4 linked regions of the Caenorhabditis elegans genome follow. The protein of the gene in region 3 purifies or fractionates together with the protein of the main gene of each other region. This does not show direct contact. Each region holds a gene or a part of one and is shown on either strand. Other genes may lie near its edges.

The links.
Region 1: the proteins of unc-78 (region 3) and nhl-2 fractionate together in Caenorhabditis elegans (co-fractionation; one large-scale study listed by BioGRID). This does not show direct contact.
Region 2: the proteins of unc-78 (region 3) and prx-12 fractionate together in Caenorhabditis elegans (co-fractionation; one large-scale study listed by BioGRID). This does not show direct contact.
Region 4: the proteins of unc-78 (region 3) and C45B2.6 fractionate together in Caenorhabditis elegans (co-fractionation; one large-scale study listed by BioGRID). This does not show direct contact.

Annotation. Positions count from the first base shown.
Region 1 is NC_003281.10:4,891,047-4,900,871, forward strand, and holds nhl-2 (B box-type domain-containing protein), read right to left. Parts: upstream 8,040-9,825; 5' UTR 7,912-8,039; coding exon 7,790-7,911; intron 7,485-7,789; coding exon 7,139-7,484; intron 7,040-7,138; coding exon 6,503-7,039; intron 6,444-6,502; coding exon 6,002-6,443; intron 5,951-6,001; coding exon 5,400-5,950; intron 5,315-5,399; coding exon 4,552-5,314; intron 4,506-4,551; coding exon 4,333-4,505; intron 4,274-4,332; coding exon 4,109-4,273; 3' UTR 2,612-4,108; downstream 1-2,611. Other genes in the region: F26F4.6 (TFIIS-type domain-containing protein), read right to left, coding at 858-993, 1,049-1,225, 1,275-1,352, 1,807-2,197, 2,248-2,347; tag-340 (START domain-containing protein), read left to right, coding at 9,712-9,779.
Region 2 is NC_003284.9:11,390,848-11,396,359, reverse strand, and holds prx-12 (Peroxisome assembly protein 12), read right to left. Parts: upstream 3,068-5,512; 5' UTR 3,060-3,067; coding exon 2,919-3,059; intron 2,870-2,918; coding exon 2,761-2,869; intron 2,714-2,760; coding exon 2,520-2,713; intron 2,476-2,519; coding exon 2,261-2,475; intron 2,216-2,260; coding exon 1,898-2,215; intron 1,850-1,897; coding exon 1,792-1,849; 3' UTR 1,741-1,791; downstream 1-1,740. Other genes in the region: slo-2 (RCK N-terminal domain-containing protein), read left to right, coding at 1-11, 274-616, 660-743, 792-914, 970-1,093, 1,364-1,451, 1,514-1,661; prmn-1 (PRoMiNin (5-transmembrane domain glycoprotein) homolog), read right to left, coding at 3,953-4,004, 4,334-4,408, 4,522-4,631, 4,681-4,770, 4,822-4,987, 5,034-5,230, 5,280-5,450, 5,498-5,512. UniProt on the Caenorhabditis elegans protein: Component of a retrotranslocation channel required for peroxisome organization by mediating export of the PEX5/prx-5 receptor from peroxisomes to the cytosol, thereby promoting PEX5/prx-5 recycling.
Region 3 is NC_003284.9:3,406,939-3,414,487, forward strand, and holds unc-78 (Actin-interacting protein 1), read right to left. Parts: upstream 4,678-7,549; 5' UTR 4,677-4,677; coding exon 4,604-4,676; intron 4,209-4,603; coding exon 3,730-4,208; intron 3,302-3,729; coding exon 2,809-3,301; intron 2,767-2,808; coding exon 2,270-2,766; exon of another isoform or gene 2,222-2,269; coding exon 2,035-2,221; intron 1,988-2,034; coding exon 1,881-1,987; 3' UTR 1,736-1,880; downstream 1-1,735. Other genes in the region: vit-5 (Vitellogenin-5), read left to right, coding at 1-846, 896-1,124, 1,170-1,305, 1,358-1,617; putative oxidoreductase dhs-27, read right to left, coding at 6,038-6,163, 6,210-6,371, 6,830-6,940, 7,011-7,082, 7,127-7,230, 7,273-7,506. UniProt on the Caenorhabditis elegans protein: Induces disassembly of actin filaments in conjunction with ADF/cofilin family proteins. Regulator of actin organization in myofibrils.
Region 4 is NC_003284.9:6,050,259-6,058,618, reverse strand, and holds C45B2.6 (phospholipase A2), read right to left. Parts: upstream 5,562-8,360; 5' UTR 5,520-5,561; coding exon 5,403-5,519; intron 5,168-5,402; coding exon 5,051-5,167; intron 5,008-5,050; coding exon 4,778-5,007; intron 4,723-4,777; coding exon 4,548-4,722; intron 4,213-4,547; coding exon 4,101-4,212; intron 4,057-4,100; coding exon 3,966-4,056; intron 3,918-3,965; coding exon 3,821-3,917; intron 3,777-3,820; coding exon 3,692-3,776; intron 3,649-3,691; coding exon 3,379-3,648; intron 3,330-3,378; coding exon 3,073-3,329; intron 2,997-3,072; coding exon 2,743-2,996; intron 2,695-2,742; coding exon 2,424-2,694; intron 1,873-2,423; coding exon 1,717-1,872; intron 1,668-1,716; coding exon 1,611-1,667; 3' UTR 1,446-1,610; downstream 1-1,445. Other genes in the region: gln-1 (glutamine synthetase), read right to left, coding at 1-63, 111-251, 298-337.

The sequences.
Region 1 (9,825 bases), on a different chromosome or scaffold from region 3:
TTTTCGAGTTGAATACTTAGAACTAATAACAAAAAGCAAAAAGTTAACGCTGAAATTGTGAAGAAGAAAAATATCAAGTCGAAAATCGATATTAAAATAATGATATACAGTAATCCTATACCGAGCGTTGCGAGACCTCATCCCGAGCAAGAACGTCCCTTTAACAATACCGTATGCCGCGATTTGCGCTTTTCAAGTTTTTTTTTCTAATTTTTGAAAACTTCGCAAACCAAAAATGACCAGAAAGCATAAATTTGCGGAAATCAAAAAACAAACAAATATTAGAAGACCGGCAGCGTATCTTTTCCGTGAGGCAAAATCATTGGTGAATCCGAAACGAAAACATTTGAAGAGTAAATAGATAAATAATGCGCGTTTTTCACGGAAATTCCTATGGCAATTTTTGGTTTTGAACTTTTTTTCGTGCCGAAAGTTTCAAAATGTGGTTTAGTTTGTAGAATAGAAATAAATAATGAAGGTAGTCACACACGAACATCACACATGTTACAACAACAAAGGGAAGCACACAAAAAACCAAAAAAAAGGAAAAAGTACACCATATCGACAAAAATCGTTTATTACTTACTATTTGAAAGACTATGGGACAAAGTTCAAAGGCAACGAGTATATAAATCACTACCAAAAACCTAGAAAAAGTAATCTGGAAAAAAGGAAAAAAAGTTCATGAAATTAGAAGGGAGGGGTCGTTTATCATCCAGTTTCTTTTTTTTCTGTGAGGCTGAAAACCGCCCCACCCATTGAATGGAGACATAATTGGCGCTTGATTAATTCGATCTATTAGGATTCCGTTTCTCAGTGTGATTTATCGAGATGTGGTGATGGAAACTTTGAAAAAATTATTTCACTTTTGTAGTTATTTTGCACACAGGACACTCAAAAAGTGCTATTGGAAGATCTTCCTCGTTGGGTGGTAACAAATATGAGATACGTTCCTGCATTTGTATTGATTCAAAGAAATAACGCATTCCGCATCTGTGAAAAATGAATATTTATATCTTTTAGCTTCCAAAACAGAAAGAAAACCAACTTTTCACATGTAACACTCTCAGTATTCGCAAACTGATTCACAGCTTTTGACTGTCCTCGAAATTTTCGATTGTCAATTTGTTGACCCGCATAATTCATTCGAGTCGCCGTGCTTACTTCATTGCGTCCGCTGCCACGTGGCATTGGTAGGAGTGGATGGGCGATGTAATACATTTCACTGTAACATTTCTGAGGTTTTTGGCAAAAGCTGAAGAAGAGAATATTACCTATCACCGCTCTGTTCAGCTGCATTGATGTCACATGCTGTCTGATAAGTCCATCGTCGTTTGTGGCTTACCATGGTTCTGAAAAGTGCATTTTTATTCAGGTTTATGCTGCTTATAAACTTCAAAAATTTGAAAATAACCGCGAAAGCGTTTCGGCTTAAACAAATTTTACTAATTTTATATGTTCAGTTAACTGTTAACAGTACTGTTGAAACCATAAAGAACAACAACAATAAATTGGCTATTTAGATGCCAACGACAGAGAAAGGCACCGAAAATGATGGGAAATGTAGCTTTTTCAGCCAAAAAAAATAAATTGTAAAAATTTTGTACATGTAGTATGCGAGTTGTGTATAACAGTAAATTTGAATCGGAGTGCCATTTTTTAAATTTAATATTAATTAATGAAATGTTTTTTTTCGAAAAATAACTTTCATGAAAAAAAGAGAATGAAAGATGGGGTTTTCACAGCTTTTGTTTCATTTTCCGAAATGAGGGAGTTTAAAATCCATTAATTTTTAACGAAACTCACGATGCACCATGAAATTCCCTCGGTGGATGGTAATTCCTGTTTCCTTTGATTTCTGGAGATGCAGAGGAGTTGGTAGAAGACTCTGGAGCAGAAGAACTTGTTGCTTGAGGCTCAGATGTCGAAGAATATGCAGAATTCAAGTCAGAAGACGAAGAAGATGATGATGATGAAGTTGAATATGATTCAGTGGAACTAGATGGAAGAGAAGATGATCCTGTTGCTCCACTTGCCACATCATCAATCACTTTTGTGAGATTTGGTGAATCTGTGTCCAAATCTTCCTTTTTCTCAATTTCTTGACTCAACTTCTTCTTCATATTCTCCCGAACAACTCGGCTTCTCAAACCATCCGATCGGATGAAGACCACTTGTTTCTCACCGAACATTAATCCTGAAAATACGTAATTCATGTTAATTTTTATTTTAAATTTAAAATCTCACTCATTTTCCTTGCTGGTTCTTCTACTTCCACTCGTGCCAAATGACTAATTGATTGAGGTCGTCGAGCTGATTCTTCAGATTCTTCATTTTGAGTAGACATTTTCAGTTAAATCCAGCTGTAAATTTCAGTTTTATCTAGACAAAAAAGCGAGAAAATCAAATTTGAAAAAGCAGCGAAGCATGATTTAATTATAAAAGTCTTGATATCTATGTACCTTTATCGTTTTCTCGTCATTCGACCATAATAATTATTGATCATTGTTCAATATCTCTGCGTATCTTTTCTCTTCATTGATTCACATCTTCGATATATTCACGCGCACATCTAACGCACAGCAAACACGAAAAACACGAAAAATACTTTTTTTTTTGATTAACACTTTATTTTCATCAAAGTTAAAATTTTGAAAAAGATGGTAATTATAATAAAATTCTGAGAAATAGCCTTGTAGAAAACATTGAGAATGTGTACTAGAAAGCGCTTTGGATTCGCCACGGAAATGGACTCAATAAAAATGGGGGAAAAATCAAAGTGGTTAGCACAAAAAAGTGAGAATAAGAATTCGCTCCAATAAAAATTTCACAAAAAAGAAGAAAATGATGGTTTTGAGCGGCAAATTTGAAATTTCAGTGGGAAAGGTACGGGGCTTTTATAAAAAATGATGGAAGAGAGTAGATAATTGTGTCTATAATCATCACGAAACAGGATTAAAGATGAGGTTCGATTCGATAGATGAGAATAAAAAGAAATGTACAAAACGAATAAAAACGATTTCAAAAATGGGAATATGAAGAAATTGAGTAACGAAATGTGCTTTTAGAAGAGCTTTTTGTGGTACCTACTGGGATATATAAGAAACATTTGAAAGCGACGGGACTAGGGGGGAGAATTACACTGTATGTATAGGAAAAAGTTAAGCGATCTCAATTGAAAAATGCACTAGAATTTCAATGAAGAGCGTTTAACTCAACGTATAGAGTATATATGACTGACCTCTAGAATCGCTAGAAATGAGGAAACATAGAAAAAAAAGCCGGGAATTTGGGGGAAATTGAGCATTTTCGTAAAATAGTATAAAAATCTGATAAAATTTGGCTGAATGCGAGAATATTTGGAGAAAGAAAAGAAATGGTTGCTGCACAGGGACGCTTTTTAGAATAGAATTTGGGACAACGATGACGAGGTTTTGTTGTAGTTCAAAATATAAACTTTATAGTTTCAGAGTTTTTTAAAAGTTGATCTCCCGTTTGAAAACGCTGAAATTATAACAAGGATAACAATATACGAGAAAAATGAACGGAAGTGAGTAAGAGTGTGTAGGGAGCCCTATATTTTTTTTGGAATTTTTTGATTTTTTTTGGGCGAGCTGAAATTCAAATTTCACTTAAAATAGATACAAAACGATGCAGTCCTAAGATGAGGCTTATAAGAAAGAAAAAACAAGAACATTTTTGAAACGGAAAGGCGGGGGCGGGTTGAAAAGTTGACAGGGGTAAATTTGAAAAAAAAAACGCTAACGGTATTTACATTTTAACGAATAAAATGGTATAAACTGGATAAATGGGAAATAAGAAGAAAAAACTTAAAATCTTTGGAAAGAATTTGAGCAAAATAAAAAAGAGACGTTTTTGTATTAAAAAGCTTGAGGGAGAGGAGGGGTGGCAAATGAGGTCTCAAAACGAAAGAATTAAGAGATATGGGGAGGGGAAAGAAACTTAGGAACTTAAAATAATGGAACAACACCGGGGACAACAAAAAGGCGGATAAGCAAAGGGAGAAGGAAAAAAAAGAAGACGGCTAGAAATGAGAAAAAAGAAATGTACAAGAAAAAAAGCTTATATAGGAATTGGGGTAACCTCCTCACTGAAACTTGCTGATGAGCGAAGTTGCATGAGGAACTGGAGTTGGAACAGGAAGTCCATTTGGAAGAATCAATGGTTTGAAGACGAATAGAGTGTGGTTATGCTTACACAACGTCACAATGTGACCACTTTTAGCGATTCGGAGACCAACGCACCGAGAAAGCTGAAAATACAAATTGTTCAATATAACTGCACTTTCTAAATAATTTTCAAGATACTTACTCTAAACTCGTTGTGAGTAAATGAATGAATATGTTGTCCTTCGGGTGAGAATACAACAACGTGCAGATGATTTCCATGAGTATCAGCTACAAGAACCTCTCCTGCCTTCGAGACGTCTATTCCAATTGGATATGGGGTCTGTGATGGTTCTCCCATTTTTCGGATGAATTTTCCTGAAAATATTACACTTTTTTTTAATCCAGAAAATTATTACGGTACCTTCAGAAGTGTAAACTTGGACACAATGATGCTTGAAATCCGTTATATAAATCAGGTTATCAAACATGGCAACATCAGAAGCTTCTCCGAGTTGAGTGGAAGCATCGAACCAGAATGTGACTCGTGGTGCATCTACATCAATAGAATACACAAATCCAGCAGTATCAACAAGTAAAAGTTGTCCATTCGGGGTTGCGGCAGCAGCGGATACTTCTATTCCGCCACGTGGAACCAAAGCCATCATGTTGAGACGTTTGACGAATTCACCACGAGCTTCGAAGATCTGAGCACGAGTTTTCCCGTCACCGCCTTTATCGAGTACCACATAACGGACAGCTTCTCCTCTCAGTGCAATCACTTTTCTTGGGAAGCACAATTGTCCGTCATCCGTTCCTGGACGTCCAATCTTCCATGGATGAGGTGGACCACATACGACAACTCGATGATTATTGGTATCAGCAATCAGAATATCATCAGTGTCAGACAAACAGAATCCAGATGGACAATGCAACTCTCGAATAGTGCTTCCTTGTTGAGATGTTCCGAACACACTGTGCACCTTCAGATCGCTGACTCGTTGTGCGTTCGCTGAATTCTGCGATTGACCGACATCCGAAGCAGTAGTGGTTACAGCCGAATTTGCGGCAGCAGTAGCTGCTAGTGCTGCAGCTGCAGCTGATGTGAGTTGAGGATTCAAACTCAAATTTCCCATTGCATTCATCGCCAAAAACTCTTGAATTGTTTGATTGGTGCGCAGGTTGTTCTGAAAATAAATATTAAGCATGTGTTGTGACTGCATAATATGAATAATGAATAGTATTTAGGAATGTTTCAAAAATAGAGCTTACCATTGACATTATTTGTGGATTCAATCGATGGCTGGCAAGTGCTTGTAGTTGAGCCGCTGCTAACTTCTGCTGCATATAGGCGGCTGAAGCATTAGTTGACAGACCAGTAGTTGTTGGTGTAGCCACTGCTGGAAGCCCTTGACGAGCATTCCACATCGCTGGGAAAATAGACTCTGGCAATGGAGTTTGTGATCCATTTGTTGATCCATTCGTAAGTGCTGCCAAATCCATGTGATTTGCAGCCAAGGCAACCAGATCAGGACGCATACCAGCAGCCGCAGCAGCCATCGCAGCTGCATTAGGAAGATTCGAAAGTTGCTGTTGAGAAACAATTGGAGCAGCTGTCTGAGTCGGAGCTCCAGTTATCATAGTTTGAGGTCCAGTAACAGGTGGGGGAGTTGTCGATTCTGGTGGATGACTGCTTGGTGGCCATCCGCCGAATGCATTGCTGTCTCCACGAGTACCATTGGTTCCATTCTGTGTGTTCTTCTTACGTTCTCCACCAATTGCACCGAGTTGTGGATTTTGTGAATAAACAGGGCGTCCCCATTCTGAAAGAATCAATATTAATAATCAATTTATAGAGAAAATAATCAATTTACCATCTTGTTGTGATGGATTAGCTGCTGAGCTAGATCTTCCACCTCCTGGTTGAGAACCTCCTCTTTCACTTCTATCAGTTGATGCTGCAGTTGCATTTCCAACGTCTTTAACAGTTGGCTGAATCACTCGTCCGATAACTGTTCCAGTTAGTTGATGCACAAAATGATCAATTTGTTTTTTCGATGGAGTATAAAACTCAAGTTCCACTTGGTGTCCATGAGATGGAATAGCATGAGACAAGTTTCCAAATTGTTGAATAACTTTTTTCCTCGAAACAACCAACTCGAGACCATTTCCTTTGGTAAGAAGTCGGCGAGTGAAGTTGATGGCATCATGTACTCGTGCTTCGTTAACTTGTGATTTACGGTACATTTCATCAATGTTAGACTCTTGACGGATTCGCGCCTCTTCGAGATCGTTCACGCTTTTTTGATAGGCCTCCTGAAATTTTAATATATTTTTCCCTTTAACTCCAAAACATTTAAATTTTGATGCCCTACCTCAATAGAATTGCGTAACTCCTCATAATGTTTATCAACTCGATACTTCGCAATCTCATACTGTTCATTCAACTGTTGAGACTTGTCTGGAAGGCTATTCATATCAGCCACAGAATTGTTATATTTCTTTTCGACACGATCCACAGTACTTGTCACATCTTCCCTTATAGCATTGATCACAAGCTCGTTGATATCAATGATTTTATGATTCAAATGATCAACTTCCAGGCATTGCTTACAAGCCGCTGTTTCACATGCTGCACACAAATATCTCATATGCTGATTATGAGTGGAGCACATGACTTGACGAAGTTCTGGATGGGCTCCAGGCTGCCGAAGATCAGCAAATGTGGTTACAGTGTGACCTTGGAAAAGGTTCATGACAGTATGAGCAGTTGTGCAGTTTTCGCATAAATCTGAAGAGCATTGATCACAGAATGCGATGGCTTCTTGTTCGGATTTGCAGGCAGTACATGGTTTGCGATGGTGGGCAACCATTTTCTCAACTTCAACTTCCTTCATTTCGGCAAGACGAACCTGGAAATATTATATTGAAAACATTGAATCCAAGTTTAGTAATGTTTTTGGTAGATCAAAAGACCAAAATACTATGTTTCAGAAAAAAATTCAACTTACAAAATCCAGGAGCATGGCATGAACATATCGAACATCATTTCCAACATGCGATTCTTGTGAACAAATTGGACATCGGATTACGCCAGGAGGTGTTGGTCGTTCTTTAACTTTCGGTGTTTCCAATTCACAATCCAACATTGCTGCAGTCGCTCGTTTCTTCTCTTCAATGGCAGCTGACTTTGCTTGAAGGTGTCCATCAAGTTGAGCAATAATACAATCTTCGCACATTGAATGAAGACAATCAAGAACTCGCGGTTTACGGAAATCTTGTTGACAGTATGGACATGAAGCATGATCATCTTCTGGTAGTGGTTCTGTGCCAAATAGAGGTGATGATGACGTTGATCTGAAACTATTTGGATTATTTATTTATCAGGAAAAATTAGTGTTTAAAGATGTAATATACTAACAATGGCCTAAAAAAGACCGACTTTCATAACCAAATTCATCAAAAAAAAAATTCAAAATTTGTAGTTGCAGTTCAAGAAATTTCAGAAAAATTGTTTTATTTTGGCTGAAAATTTGATTTTGCCAATTAAAAGATTTAAAAAACAATAAATAATCGATACGGAAAAAACAAAATTAGAGGTTTTAGTTGAAATTAAGAATTTTAATGTTTTTTTTTAACTTATGTAATTCATGATAGCTTACCTCAGTGGATCTTGTCCATTCAAACTGGGCGTTCCACTATTTTGTGTGTTATTTGTGGACGTAGCGGGCGATTCATGCCTACCATTCACCGCCGAAGTCGGCCGATCTGCCGCTTTTTTCATCTTCACGGAATGAACGTTCGACACTTTTCAATCTTCTTATCCGGGTGCTTTTTGTTATTAACAAGCACACAAATACAGAATAAGAGAATATTAAAGTATCAGGGACACTCTTGGAGTGTAAACTGAAATGAAAAATGATTATAAGAAGTTAATTGGGTTTAAGAGTAGTAAGAAATTCGAGTTTCACAGAAAATACATTCAAAAGAATAATAAAAAAATCAAGGAAGGCGTCTAAAGTTTCGGAAAATCAGTGAACTATTCGAACTCTAATAAGAATTACAACAAAAACGAACACCTAAATACAAAAAAAAACAAAATATTTGTTGGTTTGAACAACACAACGTTCAGTTTCAGCGTTTCTTTCAATGTCATAAGACTTATTCCACCTGACCAGAAAATTGTTAGGTTCTACAAAAAAAGAATCACGCGCAGACGAATAAGATACAGAAAAAATGAAACGGAAGAAGAGATAATCAAGAAAAAACAAAGTACTTATGGCATTCAATGTTCTAAATATTCTGCAATGCAATACTAAACAAAAAGCGAGCGCAGGGAATGTTTAAATGCAAGTGTTGTAAACGAAAATTGTTGATTTTAACAGAAAATTTTTAATTTTTAAATAAAAAATGAAGAATTTAAAAAAATTCAAAAGTTTTAAAACAAAATAATGCACTTTGGATGCCATTTTCTTCAGAATTTCACGATAAAACATTGAAATTTATTAGAAAAGCAGAAAGCTGAAATCAAATTCTACCTGTTACTGAAAAATCAATTTGCAAAATTCGAAAAAATGACGTCATTTCGACGAAAAAGAGCAATTACTAGCGCACTTTTGCACGAGACGCGTGCAGACAGTGGCGAGAGAGTATGCAGAATGAAGAGAGTAGTCATAGACTGGGACACCGCTTTCTGTATCGTCTCACACGCATGACACACACTTTCGCGGCCGCTACGCAGAGAAACCGCCTACTTGGCATCGTGCCAGCTGCACTTTCACCACCTCGAGGGTATTTGTTGGCTGAATGCCAAGTGGGCGGAGTGAGGGGCGTGAGGAAAACTGCAAAAGTGCGGCAGGGAAATTCGACGATTTTTTCGGAAGCGGTTGGTGGATGACCATTCGCATGATCATTCAGATGACAAACACTCTATTGGAAATTTTTTTCCGAATTTACATAAAAAAGAATTTAAAATCTTTTTACAATAGTAACGTATCAAGTTAAAAACTTTATCAGACGCTAATTAGGCTTCATAGGAATTTTGTTTACTTTTTTCGCATTTTAGCCAACGAAATCGATACGAGCAGGTTTTTGAAAGGCGCTTCCACTAATAAAGAGTTGCAATTTGACTAAATTAATATTTATTTAAATATATTTTACCAGTTCAACAGAAATAAATACTCAAAAGGGAACAATTTTTTAATAAAAAGCAAGGATTTATTCAAAAAGAATTTGTCCAAGAGGAGTTCTGAAATTCACAGTACCAATTTCGTTGCGGGACCTTTTCAATGGAAAAAGCTATGCTCCTTTAAAATTTCACAGGTACTGTAAAGTTTTAAAGAAATTGTTTTCCTTTTTCGATGAGATTCTATTTTTTGACGCCTTATCAGTTTGACCTCTTTCTTGATATCAGTTGTCTCATTCGTGCATCAATATTCAAAATTGCCTCACCAACTACTTCTTACCTTACTTTTTCAGCTCCAGAGGATACTGAAAAGTGATTTTCATTTGATTACCCTTACTTAAGTTTTAAAATTCCCAATATTTCAGATTAAAAAAGAATGGAAAACATCGAAAAAAGGTCATGAGCGGACGTCAACCACTAATTTCCCCCGGATCTCAAAGAATCGGAGTGAGCAAAGACAGAAAACGGTTGGCAAAAATTTTATTACTTTTAATTTTGAATTTATATTTACAG
Region 2 (5,512 bases), 8.0 Mb from region 3:
AAAGTTGGAAAGTAAGTGAATGTTTTTATAAATTTAATTCAACAATACATGAAATAAATTATCTATTATTGTTGGGTATCAACGTGTATTGACCCACGACGTGGCTAAGAAGATCGTACAACGTGAACTCTGTGAACTAACTTATTTATTCCTTAGTTTAATGTAATAATAAACTACTCGTCTTTGAATTTCGGATGTCTGGCGGGAGTTGCAGTGATGACCAATTATCATGTTCATTAATATGTTCGTCAATAAGTATACATCATCTTACAGTTTGGATTGCCTTCTCCGAGCTGGTGTAAGCAGTGCGGAGCATGTGGTTGTTGTCAAGGAGACAGCTGTAATGGCAGAGGAGCATACTGCAGATTGTAACACAATTATCACAGTTCAAAAGATTCATCGAATGTTCCCAAGACTTCGAATGATCACTGAATTGACGCATGCGACAAACATGCGATTCGTGCAGTTCAATCCACATAATGCTTATTCATTGGCTCAATCCAGATTTGAAAAAAAGGAACGAAAACGTGGCTCTCATATGCCGTTCATGTTCCGACTACCATTTGCACAAGGAGGTGTTTTTAGTGCTAACATGCTGGATAGATTACTTTATCAGGTTAATTTTTTAATTTCCGCATATTCAAACGTAATATATTCAGGCTATTATCAAACCGTTTGTGGTTGATCTAGTCAGACTTCTTCTTGGAATTGATCAACATAGTGATGGCGGATATTTAACTTCGGTACAATCAAACTAATTGCAGTGAACCTTCATGTGATAAATATTTCAGTTTGTTATCACATCGGATGACTTATGGATTCGGAATTATGGACGATTGTATCAAAAACTATGCTCCTCTGTGGCTGATATTCCTATCGGTATTTTCAGAACCAAAAAGATGGACACTAAGACGGTAAACACAAATCTGCTCAGTATCGACTAATTGTTTTTTTTTTTAATATTTTCAGGTATCCCTTGATCTTCAAGAACAATGCAAAGATTTTGAAAACACTGAAATGGGAAGAAACAAAGATATGTATGATCATGTGAAAAATCGAATGAGACTTCTTAATATAAAAGACACTCATACTTGTAAGTTTTATTCGGAATTAGTTTTCTATTTTTAAACCCTTTCTAGTCAATTGGAAATATGCTAGCCGGTGCAGATCAACAGGTATAAGCCGAAGAGTGGTGTGAACCAGCAGACAAAATAAAATTAGAAAACTTACTTTAATACTTACTATTTACTTTTATTTCATTTCATAATAAGGTTGAAGATTCTTTAAGTTTAATTCTAATTGCTTCAGTGTGATCATTTTTCTTGGTGCGGTTAGACGTGGTGAACTGTATTTTAAATTTCAGTGCTCGAAGGAAGCGATGAAAAGTCGCAAATCTCATATGTCATCATCAATCCTGCTCAAGATTTGGAACTAGAGTCCGGAGATATTGTGTACGATTTTAAATTCTATTTCAGATGAATTTTTGATCAAGAACTCATAAATGAACTTTCAGCTACGTAATCAGAAGTCCAATCCGGAAAGATGCAACCAACGCAAGAATTAACCCAAGAAGGGGTCTAAGACGCAGTAAAAATGTTAGTGAAACCATCGATTCAACAAATCAAGTCCCAACAATTGTCATTGATGAGAATAATTTGTAAACTTGCGTTTTTTGTACAATGCCCAACACAACGAAAAGTTGAATTTGCTGGAATATTTGCTCGTGTTTTAAAAATGAATATTTTTGTAATTTTATTTGTCGTAACATGATTCAAAATTAAATTTGTAGCGCTATACAAACAAACGGATTAAATGCTGAACGTTTGCCGGGCATCCTGTCACTGGACATCTGAAATTTTTCTCAAATAATTGATAGTTTAAAATAAAGAAAACTCACTTGTTATAAGTGTTTACGTATTGGTTGATACATGTGTAGCAGAATACATATCCAGATACAAAAAGCGCAGTATCATTAACTCTTTTCTTCAAACAAATTGGGCATTTATTGGTGTCCAAACTCAAAATTTCCGATTCAGATATGATCATTTTGTGTGGAGGTGAAGGAATAGCTCCGTCAAGGCCAGTCTTTGTAAGTTTTGCCAAATCTGTGTTGTACATATAATCCAAAAACTGTACAAAGAAGAGCCCATAAGCAAAGAGCCTTGAAACGATTCCAGGTAGTCCCAAAATAAATCTCCAGATGCGATTGAAGAATCTTAAATGAATATGTTCGTTTAATGTTCCTCTAGAAATTTGATACCCAGTTTGGAGATGAAGAGGAACAGCATTGAAAGCTTCCAAGTCTTCTGGCGTAAGATGTTTCAGAATCACGCCTGAGAAGTAAAGCCATGGCGAGTGAATGGAGCTGCGGTTCAAAATGTATGCAAGTTGTAGAGCACTTTTCACTGCCTTAAGAGCTGTCTTGATGTATGGCCAAATGATCACAAACATTTTTTGACACTTTGCTTTCATGCCCTGGAATTATAAACGATATTTCAAATTTATTTGTCTATACATACATTAATTGATGACCAGCTTCTGCATTCGTAAACTTCCTTGAGCCTGTCATAAAGCTGATTCAATTTATTCTCTACATAAGGCCATCCGACTAATGTAATAAGCGACATTATTCTTTCCCTACCATCGTTCGGTGGATTTCCTGTGCCTGATGCTATTCGCTTCATAGAATAAAAGTTTTCCGTGAACGACGCTCCTGAAACACATTATCTTTAGGTGAAAAATTGGAATTAAAAAACGTACCATAGTTTCTCAAATAGTGGTTTTGCAAAATGAGATCGAATATGATGTAGTATTCATCAAAGTTTCGGTGAACCGAAAGAAATGTTTTTGGCTTGAAGAATGCTAGATACTGAAATGTTCAATTTCAAATATTCGTTTCACTTTTATTCTTAACATACTTTTACAAGATGCTGTAAAGCCGGTCTGATTGATGTTGCAAGATTTTCTTGAGCGATTATATCAAAAACCGATGGCTGCTTTTCTTCAGTTTTTGGAGAAATTGACGAAGCCAGCTGCGAGGCACGAATAGTCGTACTCATTATTTCCTAAATTTTTCAGTTAAAAATAAGAGGAAATTGTTGAGATTATACTCATTAAAATTTACAAATAAAACCAAAAAAAAGGAGAGATATGAAAATGATTGAACACGACCATCGATTGCCGGAGGAGCGAGGACACTGTCCGTATCATACTACGACGTAGTGTGTCCTTGTCTTATCACGATTAGATAGTAATTGAAATGTGGAGGGTTAGAATTGCAACAATGTAACCTTTGCTTTTCTTAACTGTAGATCTATTGATGCAAAATACAATGAAAATAACGACTCTTTAATAAATGCATGAATAATAAATAAATGGGATTTTCAATTATTTGTAGTGAGTTTTACGGTGCGTGCTAGTTCTTTATGATTTTTTTAAAGAGACACCAAAACGTGGACAACTATATACATTATTTTAAATATAAAAACAATAAATCACGAATTGTTTGCACGCAACATTTGTTCTTATCTTAACTCTTATCAACTTCAATCCGCTTTTGGAAGAACTGAACCAACGTGGAGGGTGGTTTAATGTTTTTATTCAAATACGAACCGCAATTGGGGAATCATCACATAAATGATAATTCTATCAGTAAAAGTTACGGAAACTGAAAAAAAGTCAAACAACTGAAGATCGAATTTGAGGAAAAAACGGAAATGCAAAAATGGCACTGAATAGAAAAACTGTGTGCGTAGAATTGAGCGGTTCACTTGAGTAGATTTTAAGAAAAAGAACATGGGACTGGGAGAAATGAATAATGGGAAAATGATACTCGTAGATTCTAGGTGCGATCAAATGAAATGAAAGAAAATTTCAACTGAATTGTCGACATAAATACATGCATTTTTTAATTAAGTAGGCGCAATTGTGATAATACATTTTCTGAGGCTCTTCATCGATAATTACGTTGATAATCATCTGTGTAGGTGTAGTTTGCGTATCCACTGAAAAAAATAGTTTTTTGAAACATTTGAATTTATATTTAGAACATTTTTCATATCCAGATTTCAATAGCAGGGCTGTTACTTTTTCATTATTTAATATTTTTTGGGTTCTGGCAAACATTAAACATTTTTGTCGCATTTGTAATAATGCAAAATTTTTCTAAAACAGTATTTGTTGGTAATTTGCTACATCAACTTTTTGATCTTTATTGTTGGTTTTTGTGTTTCAAACTGAACTCGTTTTATTTCTGATACCGAGTATTTGAAAGATCATTTCAAAATGTGTAGTTTCAAAAAATATTCCAATTGATATTAATATGCTAACTTACGGCTTAGGCCTAGTGTCATATGTATCGGTAATGAACGATGACATGTGATGTGTTTCAGATGGTGGTTCCACAATGCTGAAATATATAAAATTATATTCAAAATTGCAAAGTTAAGGGTTATTTTTCGAAAAAATGGCTAAGCTAAAGTTATTGTGACACTTTTCTTTAAATAAAATTGTGAAACTTACTATTTTGGGAACGCGTGCATCTTAGAGTATAAACCTATTAATGAGTTTGAAATTATCACAATTGGTATCAACAGAACTAGGCAGATCAGCATACACATCCATGTCCCGTTCTGAAATTATAAATTGAAAACAGTTCCCCAATTTTTGTGTCATTTTTACATATGGATCAATTGTGTAAGCACAAACAGCAGCAGTTGTTTGCCGGGCAATTTGTGTCAACGGTTGACATGACGTGACCTCGCTCTCCATCTGAAAAGTCAAGCAATTATAGAATTTTTTGAAACACTTTTGCGTTATTACCTGGCTTTTGACATGAACTATGTACTGGTCGATGTTGTTAACCATTTGTTGGAATTCTTCTTTAGCTGCACGACCGAAATGCTCTCTCATGTTTTCAGCCAGTAAAGCCTGAGCATGCTGAAGCTTTACAAGAAGAGAAGAAACAGGAACTTGAAGCTGAGAAAGTCTGGAATAAGTATTTTATAGGAATTCAACATTTAAAGAATTTTCACTTTTCATCGAGTGAAGTAATGTTAGAGTACAATGCCTCTAATCTGCTCCTTAATGGTTTCGCAAATTGAATCTCTAACTCTCTGATTTGTTCAAGAACAAGAGTCACTGCCTTAGGACGACCCGAATTTGCGTCTAGAGATTCCTCGAATTCCCGCGTTTTGGATGCTAAGTCGAGTTCATCCATTGCATGCTTTATCTGAAACTCAAAGTTAAAAATTGCTCAATTATGTTTCCAATCTACAAACCGCATTCAGGCCTTGTTGGCTAACTTTTGAAACATTCACTGAGGCGAGTTTCTCCAAATCTCGAAGTTCGCTTCTTGAAATGAATGCATCAAGCGGACGAATTTCCGGCATATTTTCCATAGTTGTTCGCAAGGAAATTTGCAGTTGGTTGTATGCATCTTTTTCAAAATCCTGCAAAATTTATATTTAACATATCTATGTATAAGTTTTGTTAGTACCTGTAGTTTGTTCAA
Region 3 (7,549 bases):
TCCAATGGAGCACGAGAACAAAGAATGGACTCTTCGTACTGAGCTTCTTGCTGCCCGCCCACAAATGCCATCATCCCTCCGTCAACTCCGTGAGCAACCACACCGTGAGGTTCAACTCGCATTCAATGCCAAGTGGGGATCATCAAAGAAGAGCGAGATCACAGTCAATGCTCAACTCGAACAATCCACGGAACAAAAGAAGTTCATCCGCAACATCGAGCGTGAGTACAAGGGAATTCCAGAGTACGAACTTTTGATCAAGGCTGCTCGTCTTAACCAAGTCAATGTTGTCTCTGAGTACAAGCTCACCCCACAGTCTGAATACACTTTCTCCCGCATTTTCGACCTTATCAAGGCATACAACTTCTGGACTGTTTCTGAGAAGCGTGTCCAAAACGAGAATCGCCGCGTTGTTCTTCAACTTTCTGTTGAGCCACTTTCCCGCCAATACATGAACATGACCATCCAGACTCCAGAACAAGAAGTTGAGTTGAAGAATGTTCGTATTCCACGCGTCGTTCTCCCAACTATTGCTCGTAGTGCCATGTTCCAACAAACCTGGGAAAAGACCGGAGCCACCTGCAAGGTTGACCAATCTGAGGTTTCTACCTTTGACAACGTGATCTACCGCGCTCCACTCACCACCTGCTACTCTCTTGTTGCCAAGGATTGCTCTGAACAGCCAAGATTCGCTGTTCTTGCCAAGAAGATCAACAAGAACTCTGAGGAGCTTCTCGTTAAGGTTGTCCGCCGTGAGGAAGAAATTGTTGTGAAGAAGTCTGACGATAAGTTCCTTGTCAAGGTTGACGGAAAGAAGGTTAACCCAACTGAACTTGAACAATACAAGTAAGCTTTAACTCTAAATCACATGAATTTTTCTAATCTCGTTTTTCAGTATCGAAATTCTTGGAGATAACCTTATTGTTATTCGTCTTCCACAAGGAGAGGTTCGTTTCGATGGATACACTGTCAAGACCAACATGCCATCCGTTGCTTCACAAAACCAACTTTGCGGACTTTGCGGAAACAATGACGGTGAGAGAGACAATGAGTTCATGACCGCTGACAACTACGAAACTGAGGATGTTGAGGAATTCCACCGGTCTTACCTTCTCAAGAATGAGGTAATCAGATTTTTTCAATGAACTGAATGTAAATTTCATTTTCAGGAATGCGAAGTTGAGAACGACCGCATCTCCGAGAAGAAGAACTACAGAAACAAATGGAACAGAGAAGAGAAGAAGTCCGACTACGAGAGCAGCTCCGACTACGAGAGCAACTACGATGAGAAGGAAACTGAGAAGGGTTAGTCTAAGGCTGAATGATGTGTAGTTTTAACAAAATACATATTTTTCAGAACTCGTCAAGAAGACCCTCATCAAGGAGTTCTCCAACCGCGTCTGCTTCTCCATCGAGCCAGTCTCTGAGTGCCGCCGTGGACTCGAATCCGAGAAGACTTCCAACAAGAAGATCCGTTTCACTTGCATGCCACGCCACAGCAAGAACGCTCGTCGTTTCTTGAAGGAAGCTCGTGAGCAAACTGTTGCCGAGTTGGTCGATTTCCCAGTCTCCTTCGTTGAGTCTGTCAAGATCCCAACCGCCTGCGTTGCCTATTAGATTTCATATGTTTTATTAATTTTCTATTAAATAAAGCATTTTCACTAGAATGATTTTTTTTCTCATCACTTCTAGAAAACAAATACACATGTTGTAAGGATGTCAATCGAAACACAGCTTTGCACCAATAGTTTTTATTTACGCGTGTATTTAAGGCTTCGAAGGAGATGATAGTGCTTGCAGTAAACACGAAAATTAGTGATAATTATGAAAATCAATATAATTTTAAGGATACTTAGAGGGCAATCAAAAAGCTTCTCGACTTAAAAAGGTACATTCCAGAACTTGATATTCGAATCTTGTCCGGCCGACACAATTGTAGTTTCGTTGAGCCAAATTACCGAATTGACAGACGACATAGCATGAGCACCTATAAAAATGTTGTTAAATGTGTTAAATTAATAGAGAAATATTTACCTTTAATGATGATCGGATGATCAGATGGTTTGTTCATGTTCCATACAATAACGCTGTTATCCAAGGAACCGGTCGCCAAACGGACATTGTCCGGTGACCAGGAAACACATGCAACCTTGGCGGTATGGAAAGTCCAGGAGTTTGTGTGAGCTAGCTCGAAGTTGTTCGCAACAGAGTACGGGATAACCTGAATTTTGAAATCTATAATAGAAATGATTTTTTTTCAAAAACTAACCTTTCGTGATTGATCGGTTGCCACGAGGAAAGCTCCATTATTCGAAAATGCGACAGATGTGATTTCAGCAGGATGGACAATTGTTTTAACTTCAGAGACACTTGCTCCAGAGAGTTTGTACACATGGACCTTCGAGTCTTGTCCACCAACAGCAACAAATTGCTTATCGTTCGATAATGCCACACAGGAAGAATTGTAGCTAATTGGTACTTCCGTGAGCTTTCCATGAGAGTAAATTGCAATATGCTTATAGCAAGCAGCAACTGCAATATCTCCATCTGCGGAAACGGCGAGACCGAGAGGTTGCGAAGATAATTTGTTGGCAACAGCTTTGGAAGAATCGACTCCAGAACCTCCGGCAGGAACAACCTTCAGATGATCATCCCAACTGACGGTGAACAAATCACCCTTGCTGGTTGTCTTGATTCCGGTGATCATTGTGGCGTGAACATCCGGAAACACGCGGTTTGATATTCCTGTGGAAATATCCCAGGAGTCTGAAAACAAGTTTTAAATTTCGAAGCACTGAAACTACTCACTAATATGTCCTTCAGCATCAGCACTGAAAAGAGTTTTTCCATCAGCGCTGCTGCTAAGTGCAGTAATCGCCTTGTTGTGTCCGTATCTAACCTGATCGATACTTCCCAATTCTGGATTGACAAAATTGATAAATCCATTAGCAGAGATAGACACAAGAGCCTGCTTGGTCCAAATGATTCCAAGTTGTTGATCTTCAATTCTAGTTCCAACGGGAATAGTCTTTTCAACCTTTAATGTAGCCACATTCCAAATTTTAATGGTCTTATCAGCAGAAGCCGATGCGATTTTTGTACCATCCGGGCTCCAGGTAAGGCCAAACACAGATCCAGAATGAGCGACATTTTTCAAAGAGTCATCTTCAAAGACTCCGGTTTTTGTTCCATCAACTCCGTTGTATAACACAATGGTTCCATCTCCTCCAGTCGAGGCGAACAGAGAGCCATCAGGGTTGTAGCGCACAGAGTGGACGAATTTCGTATGTTCTCCGAAAGTCTGGAAAAATTGGAAAATAAATTTGAAACTGGTTTTTTGTCTGAAAACGTATTTGGAACACTCGAGTCATTTAAAACAAGTTTCCTTCTATCAAAATTAAATCTCTGTTAGAGTTGCACTGACAATAAGCTACTGAAAAGATGTTTGCATTCCGGTAGTATTAAAAATTCACGCATACGTTCAGGTTTTTTTCTACATTATTTGTTGATAGTTTCTGAAAAAAAAGTTCGCTCAGTGTTTTTTTTAATGTTTTATCAAATAAAAAGCATGAAACTTCAGCGAAAAGCTCACGCGAAATTATCTTTTTTGGAATTAAAAAATACAACTTAACACAAACCTAATAGAATAACATGTAGTATTTCGAAATACTTTAAGCGGAACCTTTGTGGAGAATTTTCAAAAACTAATCCAATATTACAATCACTTACACTTTTAAATTTGAATGGTGGTCCTTCAAAAATCGCCACTGTATTATCATCAGATCCAGAGATAATGCGGAATGGGCGTGATGGCTTGAAGTCGACGCTGTTCATAGCGCGAGCTTGTCCGGTAAGATTTCCATTAGACGTTCCAGTGTCAAACAAGAAAACATGACCGAAACGTTCTCTGCCTTCTCCAACGGCGGCAATTCTCTTACTTTCGCTATCCCACGAAATATCCTTCACTGGTCCAGAGAACACCGGAATAGTAGTTTTCAGAATGTGGGTGGTTTGAGTTGTGTCCCAGATACGAACATTTCCATGAACATCACCAGAAGCACAATAATAACCACTTGGGCTTGTCTTGGCGACAGTCGTTTGGTGAGAATGCTCAGTGTAGATTTCGGTGTCGGTTAGGCTTCCAACTGGTACAGTATAAACCGATGTTCCGTTACAATATTGAATCTTGTCTCCAGCGGGGGTGTTGCCTGGAAGTATTTTTGTAAAACGTGATTTAGCTTTCCTATTAACCGTTTCACTTTGCACTTTTTCTGTTGCCAAAGCGTCTCACTAATACTTAAATATTTCATCAATGATTTTTACTATTTTTCGCACAATTGACAAAAAAACTACAGTAACAACAAGCGCTACAGTAGTTTTTTAAAGGATCAATGTGGTTTTCGCTACGAAATACTTTAAATATGTTGCGCAATATGAATTTTCAGAATTTTCTACTTTTGCAAGTGAAGACTAATTATTTTAAAGAAACAATTTATCTGAAAATTAGTATTGCAGCCATATTAAAATATAATGCAGCCATACGGCTTCAATTTCTAGTATTAAATAGTAAAATCACCGTGCAATTAAAAATATAAAAACTCACCGAGAACTACGGCAGTTCCTCTAGCAGTGCGAGGCAAAGACGGGAACAATGCGGTTTGAGAGAATTCCGACATTCTGCAAAAATTGTAAAAATTGAGCAGGAATCCAAAAGATCGAAGGAAGAAAATCAATAAAATCAAACGAGAGCATTGAGAAGAAATAGTGACGACAGCGGGTGAGGAACTAATGAGGGTGCGGAAGGACAGCGGTCACTGGTCACTAACAAACAGTGCGCGCGGCCGAGATGGGGTTTCCTAGGCCGCAAAGATTGAACAACTGTTTTCTTTGCTTGAAATATATAAGTTTTTCGACGGAATTTTATAATTGAAATTTTCTTTTTTTTTTCTAAGAAAAAATTATTAATTTGGTCGATCTATTTTTGTTGATAACGAAGAACAATGCGATAGTTATTTGTGACGTGAAAAAAGTGAATAAGTGTTATTGTTGTGAGAAAGAGGAGGTCAATAGAAAACGGGGCCCGCCGGCTCGCCGGGTGGAAAGCATTCGACAGCAAGACGTGTTTTTCAATCTGCGACTCGGCGATTCCCATCATCACTCGACAATCGAGAAACGGAGGTTCACGCAAACAGAGGATCGGCTGTAAACTCCTCGTTGCTCATCGACCGCTTTTTTTATTATTAGCCGTCACTGGAAAAATCGATAAACCTGCGGGGGAAGCTTTGGGTGAAAAACACGTTTTTTTTTCTCGAACAACATGTCGAAACAAAACAAAATAAGAAGAAAATTGGTCGGGTTTTGCAATAACTTTTCGAATGAGAAATGAAACATTTTCTCGATGAGACAACTCACCAAGCACATGTGATTCATGTTGCATACACGTTAAGGAGGGGCTGACTAAGCGAACTATAGCCTTATCGCAACAAAAAACGATTTTTTTCCTCCCTTTTCTACTTTTCTCGTATGAATTTGTGCAAACTAGAATATGATTCCCCGTGAGTCACCGGAAGAGCTAAATTTTCAATATCAATATATTCATTAATATAAAAAAGACATGTTATTATTTAAGTCCAAAAGTATTTTTGAATAAAGAGTACTACAATCCAAACTACATACTAAAAGCTTATAAAAAATTGCTGACAACTTGGCTTCTCGAGATGTTTCAATAGGAATATTCGAAAAACAAGTAGATCATAAAAATTTGTATATTTAATTTTTTAAAACTGTTTTTCTTTCTCTAGAGCCAACATATTTGCAGGATTCAAGTGTGTGCAGCAATTCTGTGGAGTATGGCCAGTGGGAAAAATTTGAAATGTTTTTTCTGGCAAAAAAAGCTTCAATCGGTGATCAACTTTAAAAAAAAGATTCTAAAAAATTAAGTTCACACGAAAACTTTTTTATCTGAAAAATAGCATTCAATAAAAAAAAATCATGATAAAAATGAACGAAAATGGATAAACGTGAAATGATAAAAACTCTAATTATTCTTTCTCGAGTTCTTCGCTTGATAAGAGGCAACACGATGCTTATGAACTCCGAGCATAACAACAGGGACGAAAAGTACTTTGAAAAACCAAAAGGAGAACAATGTTCCAAGGGCAACCTGAAATTTTGCAATATTCAGACCACTAAGACACCATTGATTTTACCTGAACATCATGTTGCACACAGCCCGTTGTGATTTCCCAATTAGTCCCGATAATTCTGACAGCTTGTTTGGCAAAGTTTTCAGGGGTGACAACGAAGATATTGTTCGCTTCTTCAGCTTCATACGAGGCGACCTTGGTAGCAACGAGCATTGGAATGAGACACTGGAAAAATGAATAAACTTACACTTGAGTTTTTTTTTAAAGTTTGTGAAGAAAGATTTTGAGTTAAAATACAATACGTTTAACAATAAATTGAATCAGTTCTGGCAAAATCATTACATGTAACTGGTTACGTTTAGACGTGCGACATTTAAATTAAAAACTCCGTTGTTGTAAGTATTAATATATACATTTTATAGAATACAAATTTTCAGATAAGCATGTCATTTGACAGCTCGTTTTTCGATTAGGTATCTACAATTATTCAAAATGCAAGAACACAACTCAAAAGCTTTCTGAAAGTATTTCAGTGCATTTAAGGCTGTTTAACGAAGGCTCTATATATTTGAAATTTTGAATTTCAATTTTGAATGCCTTGAAGGAATATTTAAAACGTATTGGACAATAAATCGGTAATTGTTAAGATTTAAATTTAAAGTGTACCTATTGAAAATACGTACCTGAACACGAATTCCAGTTCCTCGGTATTCATCTGACAAGGAGTCGGAGAAGAAGGATAATGCAGCTTTGCTAGCCGGGTAAGAACTGAGGTACGGAAGCGGCCTCCAGCCCTGGAAGTATATGATTAGTAAATCTCGGAAGTTACGGTAGGTAGGTAGGTAACGGTTGGTAGGCGCTTACCGTCATTGATGAGATATTTACAATGATTCCTCGCTTTTTCTTCACCATGTTTGGCAGAATCATCTCGGTCATCTGAAACAAAGCCTTAATTTGGAAAAGTATCAGAGTATTGAAACCTTAACAGCAGACATCAGGTTAACACGAAGAATCTTGGACGCCAATCCTTCTGGCAGCTCGGTCAGTGTTCCAATGATATGTGGAGCAATTCCGGCACAATTGACTGTAAAAATACATTGTGAAAATGTTGGAAAAAATTGCTTACTCAAAATTCCAACATCTAAAGTTTCGAGATCCTTGGGGAGAGCTGACAAGTCGTCTTTTTCAAAATCATGGACATGGCACATAACCTCGCATCCATGTTGCTCCACTAGCTCCTTCTTGGTGTTGTTCAATTTGTCGATATTGCGGCCAATCAGGTAGAATTTTTTGAGCCCTCTTGTTTTGCAGAGTTCTTCAATGTACGCTTTTCCAATTCCATCGGTTCCTCCAGTAATCACTGTAGCAATGAATTTTGAATTTCAGAACATGATTCAACTATA
Region 4 (8,360 bases), 2.6 Mb from region 3:
CATCAGAGCCTTCGCCAAGTGATTGACCGGTCGAAGTTCCATCGAAATTCCAGATTGGGAGATCTGTTGATATACAAAATTACTTTCCAAAATTCTAATTATAAGCTTACCAGATGGAGTTTTCGGCTCGAAGTCAAATGTCTTGGTCTTTCCTCGCATATTTTCCTGGGTTGCATCAATCCAAATGTACATTACCTGATAGTTGTTGTATTGGTCTAGAGCCATGTACTTAGCATTGAGCTCCGAAATATCTGAAAAAGAGCAACTATTCATTGGGTTTTATATGATCAAACTTACTGTTCGTTCGGGCCCTTTTGTTTGATCTACCGTACGACATGTTTGAGAGCTAGCGAAAAAGATGTTTCTGAAAATTAAAGAAATTGAGAAAATTGGGAACTTTTAATTCAATTTCGAAGTTAAAATAAATTGAAATGAAACATTTAATAAATAGAAAAGTTTGGGACACACAGATTGAAAGAAAAGTAAAACTTTAAAACCTTAAACTAGAAAGTAAAACTAAAATGGAATGAAACACCAACTAACGACGGGTTCGGTTTTTCGGAGAGTGTATATGTCAAAGGAAGGATGAGGAAGAGAGAGTGTGTCAGCATATTGATGCAGACAGTCATGCGGGGGGTTAGAAGAAAAAAGACGCAGAGAACCAACTCAGCAAATGACGGTTCACTTCATATAAGTTTACACAAACGCCATTCAGATGGATGGTGGTTACAAAAGGAGCATAAGAAACTCAGAGATCGGCTCACGACCATATTGGTGTAAGTACCTGCCCTTTGCCCAATTTGTTACCTCATGCGGTTTGTGAAAAACGCAATGTACTCGACAGAGAGAGAGAGAGAGAACGAGAGACCGCAGATAACAATCAAAGAATGGGAGGTGGTGGTGGGAATCGTTGCCATACAGTCAAGAAATCAGAGACCAAAAGAATACAACTTCAAATGTTTGAAAAATGAAAACATTATTCGTCCGAAAGTCACAAGTGGAGTGGCTGTGGAGCTATGATACGTGTGATAGTAAGTTGTAAAACGGAAGTTTACACATTCTTTATTGATATTCTGATAAAGTAATTTCGTTTTATCATTCTGATTCAAAAAATCAGACTGATCAAATTAAACCTACTAATCGGAAAAGTGTGGCTGCCGCTGCTGCGCACATGTACTTGGTAGTCTGGGCAACAATAAGGAAAACGGCAAAGTTGGTTTTATTGAACGAAAAAAAGTGCAGACTAGATACGTATGTATATGACAGATGCTATTTTTTCTTTGTATAAGATCAAAGGAGCAAATTCTCTTCACTGATTCTTTGGTTGAGAGAAAAACATTATTATAAAAAAAAGCTGAGTGGCACTGAACGAAAATACTTCTTGATGGATTTTTACCTCTAGTAAAAGACAGAGAAGATAAACAAAAATGGAAATACGACAAAGCTTGAAAAAATATTTACTCGGTTCAAATAGACTTCTATGTATTATGACGGAATGATTTTTCACAACTGAGACTTAGAATGTATACAAAATTATGAACTTATGTGTATTCTCACATATGAGAAAAGCAAAACTAATAGATTATTGAATATCTGCGAGAGGGCTCAAATTATTTGAGAATCGAAGAAAGCATGTACATCTCATTTCGCATTGCGACAGCTTCATACTGCAAAAAGTCAATACATAATGAATCAAATTGTCATCCATTAGGTTACCTTGACAGCGAGCATTGCATCCAGCAACGCACTATCATCCTTCTCGTCAATAGCAACTGGGAATTCAAGGTTTGGAGTGAAACGGAAGAAAGCCATTCCCATGGCTTCAGCCATCCAACGAGCCCGTTCGACGGTTACTCCATCAGCTGCTGTGAGCTGAAAGTGTGGAAAAATGAAAGGTGACAATATAATTAGATGTTTTCCCCGAAAAGGTTGTTAATCCATTCTAGAAAGAAAAAATATTGGAAATAGAAAACAAAATTAACAAAAAATTAAGAAATAACAGTTCCGGTTTATCGAGTGTAAGTCATATACACTCATGTTTTGAACGAAGCTTTAGATTTACGAAGAAAACTTGTCAAATTAGTCCATGTAACTATTTTAGCACCGAAATCACACTTCAAACTAGAATTTGAAACAACCATTTTTGGTTCAAACTAATAAGTCAAAACTCTTTTCAGGATGCGTTTTCAATATGAGAATAAATTGAGATGTTTTCAAGAAACATTCACGTTCGTTGCTAATTATGAAAGGCACCGGTGATTAAAATTAACGTAGTTGGGCTTTTCTGCTATTGAGTTGCCTAATAGTGAGCACACAAACTTTTTGACAACTTTGATTGAATTACATTGACAGACTTATTGATCTGCGCAAAACTTCAAACTTTATTGGCCATTTTTATCTGAAAAGAATTGCTTGCAACTCACCTGCTCAATAAAGACGTCTTTTAAGTGAAGAATCTGGTTGAACGTGTTCACAATTCCACCCATTGTTGTTGGCTTCATCAAGTCAACATTCTCAATTTTCTTTTGCATCGACCCAGTTCCAATTGAAACCATGATCTTTGACACATTACGCTCGTTTCTCTCATATTCCAGGCGTTGACAATCAGTAAGAATGTCAACAGCTGGATTATTAGCGATTAGTCCTCCGTCCATAAACTTTCCATCAACAGGTGGGAAGAATGATGGCGCCGCTCTGAAAAATACGAATCAAAAAGTGCATTTCTGTCCAGCTGTGACTCACGAAGAAGCCCTAACAACTTTTGCAGCTGCCCAGACAGGCTTCATGCCAGCTTGATCAAATGACGGGTCTCTGATGTTATAACTGCGGAACATGTAGAGTAGCGGAGGGCTGATATCGACTCGAGCAACCGGGATACTGATGCGAATACCATTCTTCTCACCGAGTTGCTGGAGCGTATCTCTTCCAAATTCATTTAGAAGAGCATTTTCCAGACCTTCGCCAGAGTATGGTCTGGATCCAATGAAAATATCATCCTGAAAAAATAAGATATTGCAACTAGCACCTGATCTTCCATATCATAATCGCTTTTCTCAATGTTCATTTTCCTACTTTCATTCTGAAATATTGTCTGATGACATGGTCAATATTTCCGTACTTGACCAATCCAAGAGTGATCATTGATCCAGTTGATGTTCCACCGATATGATTGAACCAGCGCAAGAATTTATTTCCAACAACCTTTTCGATCTCCTTCAAAAGCTGAAGAGCCAGAATTCCTTTCATACCACCTCCGTCAATAGACAAAATGACTGAATCTTTCTTGGTCAATGGCGGGAAGTTTTGGCAACGACGATGAGAAGGGTTTTCTGAAAGACGCAGAATGTTATAAAGCGAATAGAAACATATCAAAGTTACCCAGATTGTATTTAATATTTTTCTCTTTTCCTTCTTCAAGTGCTTTGAAGTGTTTTTGCAGAACTTCTGCACATTTACGTCTGGAATTTAGTGCAGCTTTCAAAATTCGGTCGGTGGAATGTCCATCAAACGCCAGAAATGCTTTTACAATATCGACGTCATCTCTTTCAAGAGCATAATCCATTGGAGACATTCCTTTGTTATCAAGCATATTAACATTCGCGCCGTGCGACCAAAGAAGTATGATTGTGCTTAGGTTTCCATTTTTTGCTGAAAAAGTTACGAGTTGCCATTTAAATGTAGTTCAGTTTACCTATATAATGCATTGGTGTGAGTCCGTTCAAATCTTGAGCGTTTATCATTTCAGCTTTGGCAAAACTGAGCATCAACTTTTGGTGCTGGAAATTTGATTAATAAAAACAATATAGTCATTTCAACAAACATCTTTCACGAAATTGTCAAATGTGTGAAACACATTCTTCGAGTTCAAAAGTCTCCCCAAAAAGTCCGAGTCTTGCACGTAGAGAATTCTCAGCACTCTGAAAAACGGTACTAATAAGATAGATACAATCAATGTGGCAACTTACGATTCAAGATCTCTCAGTGAAAATGATGATTTGTTGAGAACATCTGCCGGTGACAATAAGCAATGTGGCAAGTTATTTTTGATTGAGTATTCTGAATATGTTGATAAAGAAAATGTTGTAATTTTTGGTATTCACCTAGAATTTTCTCAAAAGATCGCGGGTAATCGGGAGTTTCGGGCTTGGGATGAGTTTCTGCGGTTATGATCATTTTGTCGCATACTTCTCCGGTAACATGACTGTTGATGTACTGCAAAAATATATTGTTTTCCAAATTTGTTCTTACATTGAAGCATTTTTTTTTTCAAAATATAGAATCGGAAAAACTTGTATACAAATTGAAGCTGCAAAAATCATCCAGCAAAATGATCCGGAGCACAGTTTTCATCTGTACGGATTTTAATTTTTCAGTGAGTCCCACCCATATGCAAGCTTTTTTCGTCAGACTTAACCAATTTCTATAGTTTTCATTTATTGATATAACGCCTATTAATGTCTATTAAGGCATTTGTTTTGTAATTTTCAGCAAAATCCCCCCAAGACACATTTTTCCACCTCGTATCTTTTATTTTAATAAATATTCACCTTTACAATTTCTGGACGATGACGTGCAACTTGCAAAATTGTCTGACCATTATGATTCATTGTCAATGGATCGAAATATTTGTCCCAGACCATTTGAAGTAAACTAAGAGATGCAAATCGAGCGGCAACATGAACGGGAGTATCACCTCTTCTATTTAGTTTTGACATTGAGAAGCTGAAACGGTTCAGTTTTTGTTAACTCAATAAAACTTGATTTGACAGTAACCTACCCATCTCCTTCTTTCTTTTTCTCCTCCTTAACATAATTTGAAAATCCAGAAAAAATCGCAAAATATACTGCTGAGCACTCGGATTGTAATTCCTTTTCTCTCAGCATAACCGGTACCAAATCATTAATGACGTTGATAGGATTGTTCAGATGTGTGATGGATTCGTCAAATTCTTTCCACAAATATTCCAGATCGTCAATGTAAGATGCATTCTTATTGAAATAAACAACCTGGAAAGTTTCTACGTGTATTTTTAATGTTATTTCAGCTTACATAGTTGTTTGGTGTGTAGACAAGTGCATATCCATCACCATATGTAGCTTGTGAAAAGTTCGTAGAAAGCTTTGAGTTGATAGAAAATTTCAAGGTTTTATCCACAGGTCCCGGCCACTGAAAATTGTGCAAATAAATAGGTAAAGGTTTTTAATAATTTAAAAAACCATAATCTGGGAGCACATTTTTGACACATTAAAAAAACATCGTTTTCCTCATCGTTGTGTGGTAGTTTTTTAAACAAAAATTTATAAAAAACTATAGAAAAAATATTTTTTAAATTTATTTTTAGAAAGTGCATGCTCAAGTTTTTTTTTCAATTTTTCATAAACTCAAAATGTTCAAAACTCACCATCGATTGTGCCTGTGGATTGCTGGCTTGAGACGTTGAACCAGCTGCTTTATGTTGAGCATCCGCGTATTCTTTGATTTTATCCTCCACGTTTTGTCGGACTGTGTTCATCGCCATCTGGCCGACGTCACTTTTGGCAAGTTTCATGAAAAAATCCATCTGAAATAACTGTGTTCATAGAAATATGATGTGAAACATGGAACAAACTGGAAATGGAATATAACAACAACAATTAGCATAGGTGTCGTCAAATGTGGTGTCAGGTCCGCATGTACACTTTTGCGGACTTGAGTGCACTATACCACTTCAGATGAGAGGTTTCCGTTTCCTTTTGGTTTTTCTCTAAACAATACAAAAAACGTGTTGAATTTCTAGTAAGAATTCGTTTTTTTTTCTTTTAAACTATTTGTGAATAATTAATGCGTTCTCTGCGGACATTGTTTTCCCGCCCTCACCCTTTGCCCAGACAGTGCATGTGTTCTTATCGATTTGTACAGCTGTTACTTTTTTCGATTTGTTTTTTTTTCTAAATAGAAATGACTTTCAAGTTTTACTGTTGTATTTTGCAGCAAAACTTACAATAAAAAACTATTGACTAATACCCAAAAGTTTCCCACCCAATTCGATGCAATCCATTTAAAAGCCCCCACTTAAATGATAGAAAAGTTACCAGCATCTCGAACAAATCCGGTTTCCGATAGATTCGCTCGATCGTCCATTAACTCAATCCGTGCACTTTTCCCCCTCAGTTCATCCCCATGAACTTTGATCTAAAACTGTTGTTGGTTTGTTTTCAATTCAATTGCTTATTTGGAACCATTTTAAAACTGGGCAAAGAGTCCGTTTTTGCGATCAGAAGATTGTCCTCTTTTTATGGTTTTAGAACTCTCATTAAACGTCAACTTGTGACCTTTCGGAACGTAATTTCGAATGCATGTCTCCTAGTGTTTCCGTTTTTGTTCAATTGCCAAATATCCTTTGTGCCATCCTTTTTCTTTTTACCACTTTGATAGATAACAAATGAAAGACAAAGTTATAAAAGTTGAAAATAATATAATATTTCAAACCTAACAAGATTAATTGGTTAAAAATCTGTTACTTATTTTCGGAATATATCCGTTCCTTTCCTTCATCCACTTTATCAAAGGAATGTGTGTAATCTTTGAAAGTATGCTCCAAAACACTCATTACTCACACACTCTTGTCTCATAAACGTGGTCCCGTTGCTAGATGGTGCCGGCGATGATACAAGAGAGAGAAAGAGACTACAAACGGGAGTGCGTGTGAGACAGCCTAGCTAAATCTACCAATCCTACATTTGACCTTTGCCACGAACCAAGATGGCGTAAGTTGCAGAGGCCTGCACCGTCGATCGTCGAATGTTTACATAACCTATTCATAGAGTTGGTTTTAGATATTCGACTTTTTTATCCCTAGAAACATTTTTGTCGACGCATCATGTAAACTTTGTTTATTAAGTATTACCATATTTTCCCTTTCAGACATGCACCTCCCCCCCCCCCCCCCCCCATTTCTCTACTTTGGCGGCTTTTTTAAGTTTTATTTTTTGAAAAAGTAGAAATTGTTCCCCTCGATAGACTCAAAATGGCCTTAAAACCCAATTTATGAGGAATTTTTCAAAAAAATGTCTAAAAGTTTTACATTAGTCCCCTTTTTTGAAGCTAATTCTGCATGTTTTGGTAAATATTTTTCAGTTCAGTTGATAGAATACTAAATTTGGATAACTATCGATTAGCTATGTACTGAGAATGTACTGAAATATACAGAAAACTTTGGCATAAACAGCCTAAGTACTCAAGAAGTGGTGATAATTGAACGAAAACAATCTACATGCTTCTGCAATAGGTACAAGTTGGTAAGATTCGAACTCACTAATTTACTGTCTATTTCAACTTATCTTCAATTGCGCACTTTTTATGTTACATTCTCCAACTTTGAACACACATTCCGACCTTGTCAATCTGTTTGTCAAAGAGAAAAAAGTCTTTAAAATTCCGGGGGACATTCCTTTATCTCGTTAGTGTCAAAGCCTACCGGCGGCATCAAGTAGAAAACAATAATTGATATCAGATTGATCCGAATTTGAAACGACATCGAACTAGTTTTCGCATTCTCGCTACATTTCAATGAATTGAGCGTGTATGTGTGTATTATATGTGTATGTGTGCTTGATGATATAGGCGATGATAATAACACATACATACGCACAGGAAGGTTTTCCCCCTGTGGCCACACCGGTGGAAAGTGAAACCATCGCAGCCGAGGATTGAGATGACACGGTGATAGGATCTCCTCATCTTGTCCCCCGCAATTCGATTCTTGCCTCGTTGTCCTCAGGTTGATGATATATGCTTTTAATTAGGTTAATCAAAACATCAAAGCCCTTTTAACTCTGCCTCCATAAAAATTTTCTCCGCGTGGGTCTCAACGCTCATTTCATTTTTTCGTTTCACTCGGCAACAAATCAAGACATTTGTCAAACAAAAATCAAGAACTGGATTTCCGTTCATTTGGTTGTCGGCATACAAAAAGTGTATTCCAATAGCTCAAACTCGGAAAACCGTTGCATCTTGTATTGACAAGGTTCTTCATCTTTTTTTATTTGCACCGTCTCGTCATGAGTCTGTACTGCAATTAAACATACTAATTGAGCGATGTCTACAGTTCAAAAATTCAGGGAAACACCCACTAATAGTTTTGCTGCTCACTGAGATTTCAGGAAGCTCCAAATGATAAGTGTCGAGAGGTCGAGATGTTAGGTGGTTGTCCAAGTTGTTCTATCTCTCTTACTCACATCTCTTACTCCCTCTTCACCCCTTCCTGTCGTGTATATGTGTGTGTGCGTATGTCTGGTTGTGTGTGTTCTTCTTCATTTGACCGCTATCGATTGATTTTATCTCCAACGACATCCTCCCCTCATCCGTCCGTTTTGCCCCT